Linked DNA regions of Callithrix jacchus. The protein of the gene in region 2 purifies or fractionates together with the protein of the main gene of each other region. This does not show direct contact. Links are inferred from orthologs where the notes say so. Each region holds a gene or a part of one and is shown on either strand. Other genes may lie near its edges.

Region 1 (4,501 bases), on a different chromosome or scaffold from region 2:
CTCTTGTTTTGCTTTTGAGAATTAGAATAATTAGCAGGTCATTTTACAAAGAACTGTCATATAAAAGAACACTTCCAAAAGGCTAAAATAGGTTCAAGGTCATTATTAAAGTGATACAGGGAGGTCAGTGAGGGAAACATTTGTGTTCTCAAAAGCCAGATTTCACACAATTGCAGGCACTAAATCTAGTTACATGTGCTTGCAGTAGAAAAGAAGACACTGATCTCAATAAAGGCTGGTCTTTTTCATGATGCGCAGGAACTCTTGCTCACTGACCTCTCCATCTCCATCTCGATCAGCTTCATCAATCATTTCCTATATGACAGTAAATATTCAGGTTAGCTTAATTTATAAACTAATTCAAAAAGGTGATTAAGGAATAGACTTTTTTTACAGTCAGGGTCTCTATGCTGCCCACACTAGTGCCAAATTCCTGGCTTCAAGTGATCCTCCTAACTCAGCCTCCCAAAGTACTGGGATTATAGGCATGAGCCACTGTGCCTGGGAAGCAATAGACTTTAATAAAGCTATGTGAAAAGATCATCGTAGTCCACCCAATGCCAGTATGCTACTCCTGATAATAGCCTGGTTCCTGAATAGTTATTTGAAAACCAAGTCATATTTTGTGAAACATATCACCTGGGAGGGAGCTTGAAGACTGCCTTGACTAGAGGGATTCCTGGAACCCAAAATAGTAAGTAAGATTGTGCACCTGTGCATTTTTCTAGAAGCAGGGCTCATAGGTTTGTCTGACTATTAAAGGGACAAGAGTCCACTGGCTTTCCTTCAAAGAGATGCTCACACGAGGAAAAATGTAACAGAAAAGGCACAGAAGGCTGAAAGGTGGGAATCTGAAGTTCCAGTGTGAGGCATTACAAACCTGCAGCTCCTCATCAGTCAGGTTCTCACCCAACTCCTTGGCCACGCGTTTCAGATTTTTGAACGAAATCTTCCCAGTTTCATCATCATCGAAGAGCTTGAAAGCTTTCAGGATTTCTTCTTTGGTATCTTTCTCAGACTTAACAAGTAGAACATAAAACACATGAGTAGGGAGACACCACGGTTACTTGTGTCCTGTAGCCCTGCCGCTGCCCAGTCACCCTCTCCTTTTTAACAATAACTCGAGTCTAGACTTGCAGCCAGTGTCAGGAAGCCCATTTTGGCCTCAGAGAAACACCAGGCAAGCCAGGCACTCCATCCAAGGTGACATTTGCTCCCTATCCCACATCTGTTTCTTAACTGGTTTGGAATTCTGTGGGATGAGGTATCTGCTTGGAAGTCTTGAGAGAGAAGCACAAGGTAACATGACGGGAGGGCAGGCCTGAACTGCTGTGTGCTCACATGACTGTTTTAACAGGCAGATGCCATGGGCCTCTGCAGATGACTGGGGCTCTGTACCATGCCAATTGTCTTAACTACTTACCATTTTCTGGGTCATCACAGTTAAAAAGTCACCAAAGTTCATTTTTCCTGTCCCTTCCTTATCAATTTCACTTATCATTTTCTTAATTTCTTCTTTCTTGGGTTCAAAGCCCAGGGCCCTCATTGCCACCTACAATGAAAACAGGATTGTCTCAATATACACATCTAAACTATAAGAAGCAAAAATAACAGTGTTGAGAGCATTAAGTCCGTATCTGATGTGATCATGTTAATATGATTCGGGAACACTTTAACACAGATCTAATTGATATCTGCAATCCATCTGATAATACTCAAGGTAAGTAAAGACAGGAAAACAGAGCACAGTACAACCTCCCCTGTTACTTACTGCAGGGAGAAGAGGGCAAAAGGGGTAGAGAGGTGATAAAGAGATGACAAGGAAGAGGGAGAGGAAAGGCAGGGCAAACGGCAGGAATGCATAGAGCTTGCCTTAAGTTCCTTAACATCTATGCTGCCAGTTCCATCTGCATCAAAAAGATCAAACGCTTCCCGGATCTCCTGCTTCTGCTCTTCTGTAAGCTCAGGCTTAGGACTCATTCTTTTTCGCTGGGCACTTGACGCCATGTTTGCCTTCTTAAAGCTGGAGGCCTTTATATGTTATGCAAATACATAAGCACAATAATATATAATACAGTCCATATTTACATAACATAGTTACAGACACCTATATGTATTTTTAAAGTCATTTATAACCAATTCCAAAGCTTTGCTTAACAAGAAATATCACAGGGTTTACTATTGTTTCTAGATGCAGGGAGATCATTTGTTCAGTAAGGATATCTCTTATTGAAAATCATCCCAAAAGAGAGCTAGTCAAGAAACTGACTGTGAACAACTAGAGATAATCAGCTCTTCCCGAATGTGGGGAACCTGGTTCTGGAAACAGCCTTAAAATGCCCACTGCCAGTACTCCGCTTCCTAGTAAGTACTCTGACTTCCCAATTACTTCTAGATTTGCCCAAATATTAGGAAGTTAAGATGTATATCGTGTCAGTATCTAATAATAAAACTCAATCCATCTGGCACCTTCGTGCCTTCTCCAAGAAGCTAAAGCATCCCCTTAATGCCCCTATATTTATATTGTAGAAAACATTTTCAAAGAAAACAATACACCTTCTCCCAGTTCTGTGGGGAAACTTTGGCAGAATGAGGCGGCCAGGAGGCCAAGGTCTGAGAGAGTCAGGGGTCTGTGAGGGATTCGAGTCTTTTTTGCCCAGGGAGGGTCACCGAGGGGACCAGGGAACGCCAGGGGAGCCTGAGGGGCGGGTGTGGGCCTGTCGTGGGTGAAGGGGAGGCAGTAGCGAAGCGCAGGCCCAGTAGGTTGGTTAGCGCCTGTACCCTACCCTTCCGGGAAAGAGCTCAAAGGAAGGACTGTACGCCAAAGCCGAGAAAGGCGCAGGAGAGGCGGCGTGGCACAGCCGGGGCTTGGGAAGGGCTCAACCTCTGGGCGTGGGGCGCGACGGAGCGGCCAGCACTCACCATAGCCAAAGGACTCCGCTGCCGGTTGTTAGGCAACCGCAGTATACACTGACTCGGCCCCGTTCCCACCGCCCCCTGCGCGCAGCCCCGCTCTCCATTGGCCGTCTTCTGGCCCTCGCCGCTCTCCATTGGTTCAGGGCCGAAGTGGGTGGAATTAACCTGGCAAAGCCCTGGACCAGCGCGGGGAGGGGCACGCTGGCGACACAGGCCAGTCATAACTGGGCAAGATCACGCCGCGAGCGCCAATTGGCTTAGCCAACGCTGAGCTGGGCCAATCCTCTTGGTGGAGGAAGCTCGGCTGATTCTCGTCTCACGCGGGAGGGTAGTAAAGGGTGGCGGTCTGAGGCTAGAGTTCGGTGGGTGCAGCCTGCTTGCGAGCTGAGGCCAGCCAGGGGGGCGCCTACAGACGGGTAAGAGTCGTGGTCTTGCCCTTGGAAGTCACCTTGTGTCAGCGACTGGGCAGGGCGGGAGAGTGAAGAGCTGCGGGGCCTCCCGGGTCGGGTGCTTTCTGGGCTGACCTCAGGCTGAGTTAGGGACCGAGTGCATCAGAGCCCCCAGATGCTACTGACCTTGCGTGTTGGAGCAGGGGCTGTACTCACGGGGCAGCTGAGACCCAGAGAGGGGAAGGGGTGTGCTGAGCGTCGTTGCAGAGGTCGGACTGCTGGTACCTAGGAACTGAATCCAGCCGAGGTTCGCTCTTTGAGGGTGGCCCTTCGAGAGCACTCCCAGACTGCCCCAGAAGTATAGGCCCCAGATCAGGTTCCAAGAGGGGATCACTTTAGGTCTCACGTGGCTAAAAGCAGCCCAGGACGGTGAACTGGGGGCTTTGGGAACGGACTTTGAAAGGAGTGAGGGGGATGTGAGCGAGCATGAGGGGCCGGGAGAGGTCATCAAAATATACTCTTTTTGACACCCACTCAAGACAGATAAGGAGGAGCATTCCAGGCCGAGATGCCCTCATAAGCAAAGTCCCAAGAGTTTTGGAAGTTACTGGTATGCTTGGAGAATTCAAAGGGAGCATGTGCAAGGGCTGTGGACTGAGATAGACCTGCAGAAAGGGAGCTGGAGGTCCAATTTGCCCACTTTCGCTATTCCCGTGGCTTTCGGCCTTCACCTGTCTTTCCTCCAGGCATTGGGGCAGTAATCTAGGGAGGCAGAGGGCAGAGAGTAAGTTTCTCAGGCAGAGAAAGGCCCGAGGCTTATTAGAACCTTTTAAATGGAGCTTCTGCCCTTTGCCCTCTTCCTTCTTCAGCAGTGAACAGATTCATCATCAGCCTCCCAAGTAGTCCGAGCCAGAGTTCTCACCATGCCCTCTGCAAAGCCTATTACTCTTCTCTCCTCAGGCTCACTCCAGCCCCACAATACTGGCTTTGTCGTTGAACCTCATGTGCCAGCCACACTCCTGCCTCTCATTTTTGTCCCAGTTGTTCCCTCTGCCTGCCTCCTCTTAAGCAGTCCCCGGTACAAACAAGCCACTCACCTTGCTCTACTTTTTTTCCAATAGTACTTACCACCTTCTGACCTACTGTATATTTTGCTTATTTATTTTGTTCTCTGTTCTCCCTCCACTAGAAAGCAG
Region 2 (3,814 bases):
AAAAGTTTCCTTTGTCATGAAAAGGTAGACTACAAAACCACAATCGTCTATGTAAAAGTTCTGTATACTCAGTGGACTTATTGATGAACTATGAATAGACATAAGGCTCTCAACTTTCTTATAACACAGATTTAAACAAAATTTTTATAGGTCATTTCCTTCCCCCTGCACACCTACCTCTGTTTTTCAGTTCAACTTTTTTTTTTTTTTTTTTTTTGAGGCAGAGTCTTGCTCTGTCTCTCAAGCTGGAGGTGCAGTGGTGCGATCTTGGCTCACTGCTACCTCCGCATTCCAGGTCAAGCAATTCTCCTGCCTCAGCCTCTCAAGGAACTGAAATTATAGACACCCGCCACCTCGCCCAGCTTATTTTTGAATTTTTAGTAGAGATGGGGTTTCACCATCTTGTTCAGGCTGGTCTTGAACTCCTGACCTTGTGAGCCACCATGCCACCACACCCGGCTTCAGTTCAACTTTCACTGTGATAAGGTCATCTTTTGTTTTTATAGCATACTTTCCTAGATTGTTGTTTAAGTATTTCAGATGCATTTCTCCTTAAGGAATATCTATGAAGTTTATTTTTCAGTGTTTCAAAATGCAGACTTTACTCTGTGTCAGTGAGCAAGTAAGAGTTGTACTTGTGTTATATGCAATTTTACTTCTCTATCTTTCTCCGTCATTTCCTTTTCATGCAAAAGTTTTTAAATACGCTATTATAGAGTGCAATATATAGCTGCAGGAAACCTATATAAGAAATCTATGTAGAAAAAGTGAAAAATCATTCTCTAATCCTGTAACCCCACAATCCATGGGTAAAACTGTTAATATTTTGGTATATTTTTTTCTAGTCTCTTTTCTCCTGCACATAGATACATATTTTCCCATAATTGCTCGTTTTGCACTTACCTGCTTTTCCCGTTTAATGTTGTGATGATTTTCCAGTCATTAAAAATATTTCATCATTCTTTTCAAAACATTTCAATGTTCATCACTTTTTTCTTTTTGTATATTTCTGTTGTTTAACATCATGTTTATACCATAACTTAGTTAACCTTCCTCTATTGTTGACTGTTTTTAATTTTTTCCATTTTTATGATGTCAATTAATTTTTCCAATTTCCTTATGACAGAGTCCTGGACACTGACTTTGTCAGAGTAAGACATCTGTTACTTGGTGACAAAGTTCTTTCCAGAAAGTGTTTTTCTTTTTTAAATATATTTCCAGTAATATGAGAGTGGCTATGTGCTTTTTTTCCCTTTTATAAATAAATTTTGAAATTAATACAAATTATTATACCATTTTTTTTGCTTTTCTTTAATACACTCTTAGGGAACGGGTTCTCAGGAGATTTAAGACAGTTGGTTGCTGGAATGTGTTTTCCTTTTATTTTTTTATGGAGATGAGGTCTCACTGTGTTGCCCAGGCTGGTCTCGAACTCCTGGCTCAAGCAGTCCTCCGCTTTGGCCTCTCAAAGGGCTGAGATTTGAGATAACAGGCATGAGCCACTACACCCAGCCTGGAATGGCTTTTTGTGTGTTTTTTCTTTTGTCTTTTTTTTTTTTAATTCAAGAAAATTCTCACAATGTCAGGCCCTGGCACTACTGAGTCCCTAGATTATAAACGCCAGGAGTATTCTTTGTGTCAATTTGTTAAATCTAAAATCTGTATTAGATCTGGCTTCTTTATTTCATTGCCTATGCCGGGACTATAGCTTGTATGAAAGAGGTTCTTTATAATATTTCATATCATGTGTGACTTGCTAGTTCATGGAGTCTGTCTTCAATTATGTGCAGTGTCTGTTGGCATTCAATTCTGCTGAATGTCTCACTGAAGTTACTATTCAGGTCCTTTCCAGTTGCTACATTGCCTATGTAAGTTGTTAAAACAGCTCCATGTTTTTCATTTTCTGTGTTAGGAAGGGGATTTTAATGGGATGTTTAAGAGTATAACATCATTTATGTCATATATCATGTCTTTTGAAATAATCAGTTGTCAGGGCCTAACTGCGTAATGAAAAGACAGTATTGCCGAGCATAGTGGCTCACACCTGTAATCCCTGCACTTTGGGAAGCCAAGGCGGATGGGTCACCTGAAGTCAGGAATTCAAGACCAGCCTGGCCAACATGGTGAAACCCTGTCTGTACTAAAAATACAAAAAAATTAGCCAAGTGTGGTGGCAGGCATCTATAATCCTATCTACTGGGGAGGCTGAGGCAGGAGAATTGCTTGAACCTAAGGGGCCAGAGGTCGAAGTGAGCCAAGATCACGCCATTGCACTCCAGCCTGGGTGACAGACTGAAGCTCCGTCTCAAAAAATAAATAAGTAAAAGGAAAAGAAAAGATAGTATTTTACTTCTAATATGGTTAAGATTGGATTGGACTAAGAGGTTATAGCATTTGGAATTAGGGGGGATAAAATCATCAAAAGATGAAGGAGAGGCCGGGTATAGTGGCTCATACCTGTAACCCTAGCACTTTGGGAGGCTGAGGTGGGCGGATCACCTAAAGTCAGGAATTTGAGACCATCCTGGCCAACATGGCAAAACCTTGTCTTTACTAAAAGTAGAAAAATTAGCTGGGTATGGTAGCTGGTACCTGCAGTCCAGCTACTCAGGTGGCTGAGGCAGGAGAATCACTTGAACCTAGGAGACAGAGGTTGCAGTGACCCGAGATTGTGCCATTGCACCCTAATACAGGGGACGGAGCAAGACTCTACCTCAGAAAAAAAAGATGGAGAAACAGTGAGGAACCTCAAGACTAATGACATAAATACATTAAATTTAATGCATGTGAATAAACATCATATGTATATATCTATATATACATATACATAATACGTTTCTATTCAGTATGTCTACAATTTGGATTTTTACCTAAATGTAATGCCCTTAGAGCTTTTTGAATGTCCAGTAGTTAAAGCACCTAATTCATGATGGGACTAATGACAGTCTTTTGGAAGGAAAAATTATAATGAAAGATTTCCTGACAAGAATGTAAAGCAGATTATTCAGAATTCTAATGGTGCATTTTCATGAGAAAAGCTTATTTACTGGCAGTGACCTCTAGTGAAAAGAGTTAATGTTTTGATGGAAAGATTATAATCTTAGGAATGAATATTCTTATTTGCAGGTTACATGTCTTGCATGTGACAACAAATCAAATACCATAGAACCTTTCTGGGACTTGTCATTGGAGTTTCCAGAACGATATCAATGCAGTGGAAAAGATACTGCTTCCCAGCCATGTCTGGTTACTGAAATGTTGGCCAAATTTACAGAAACTGAAGCTTTAGAAGGAAAAATCTACGTATGTGACCAGTGTAACTGTGAGTAAAGATGGTGTGTTCTCTGTGCTCTCCAAGGAATAATAAAGAGAAATGCAGATGAGAGGAAGCTGAAATTCTTCAGCAGTTATGAAAATGAACTTTATTTCATTGAAATAAACAGATTTTCACTTTATAATTGGCATTTATGAACTATGCGTTTGTTTTGCCGTATTGTTGGAATTCAAATTGTTTCTGATCCTGTAGACAATTTTGGAGGGAGAAGATCATAAGAAGTTTAAATGTGATATGCAGAGCAAAATAAAGTAGCAAAGAGGAATAATGAAAGCATGTCATGTAGGGTGAAGGAAACACTCTATGAGCTTTTTTTTGCTATATATCAAAATGATATGTATATAAATGTGTGTGTCTATATACATAAAATAGGAAATAATATATGCTAGACTGCTGTTGTAGAGATTGGCTTCATCAAAGCAAAGATTTATCCAAAACCACACGCTGTCTCTTCTGTGTTAGTTATTCCCAGTGTCTACA

Evidence for each region.
Region 1: the proteins of USP44 (region 2) and CETN2 purify together in Homo sapiens (affinity purification with mass spectrometry; 4 studies listed by BioGRID and IntAct, counting the BioPlex papers as one, with this or other methods). This does not show direct contact. The link is inferred for Callithrix jacchus from reciprocal best matches to the Homo sapiens genes USP44 and CETN2.

What each region holds. Positions count from the first base shown.
Region 1 is NC_133524.1:148,959,909-148,964,409, forward strand, and holds the start of CETN2 (centrin-2), read right to left. Parts: upstream 2,973-4,501; 5' UTR 2,926-2,972; coding exon 2,923-2,925; exon of another isoform or gene 2,787-2,922; intron 2,032-2,786; coding exon 1,873-2,031; intron 1,553-1,872; coding exon 1,424-1,552; intron 1,019-1,423; coding exon 881-1,018; intron 316-880; coding exon 226-315; 3' UTR 1-225. UniProt on the Homo sapiens protein: Plays a fundamental role in microtubule organizing center structure and function. Required for centriole duplication and correct spindle formation. Has a role in regulating cytokinesis and genome stability via cooperation with CALM1 and CCP110.
Region 2 is NC_133510.1:98,610,469-98,614,282, reverse strand, and holds part of USP44 (ubiquitin carboxyl-terminal hydrolase 44), read left to right. Parts: intron 1-3,126; coding exon 3,127-3,322; intron 3,323-3,814.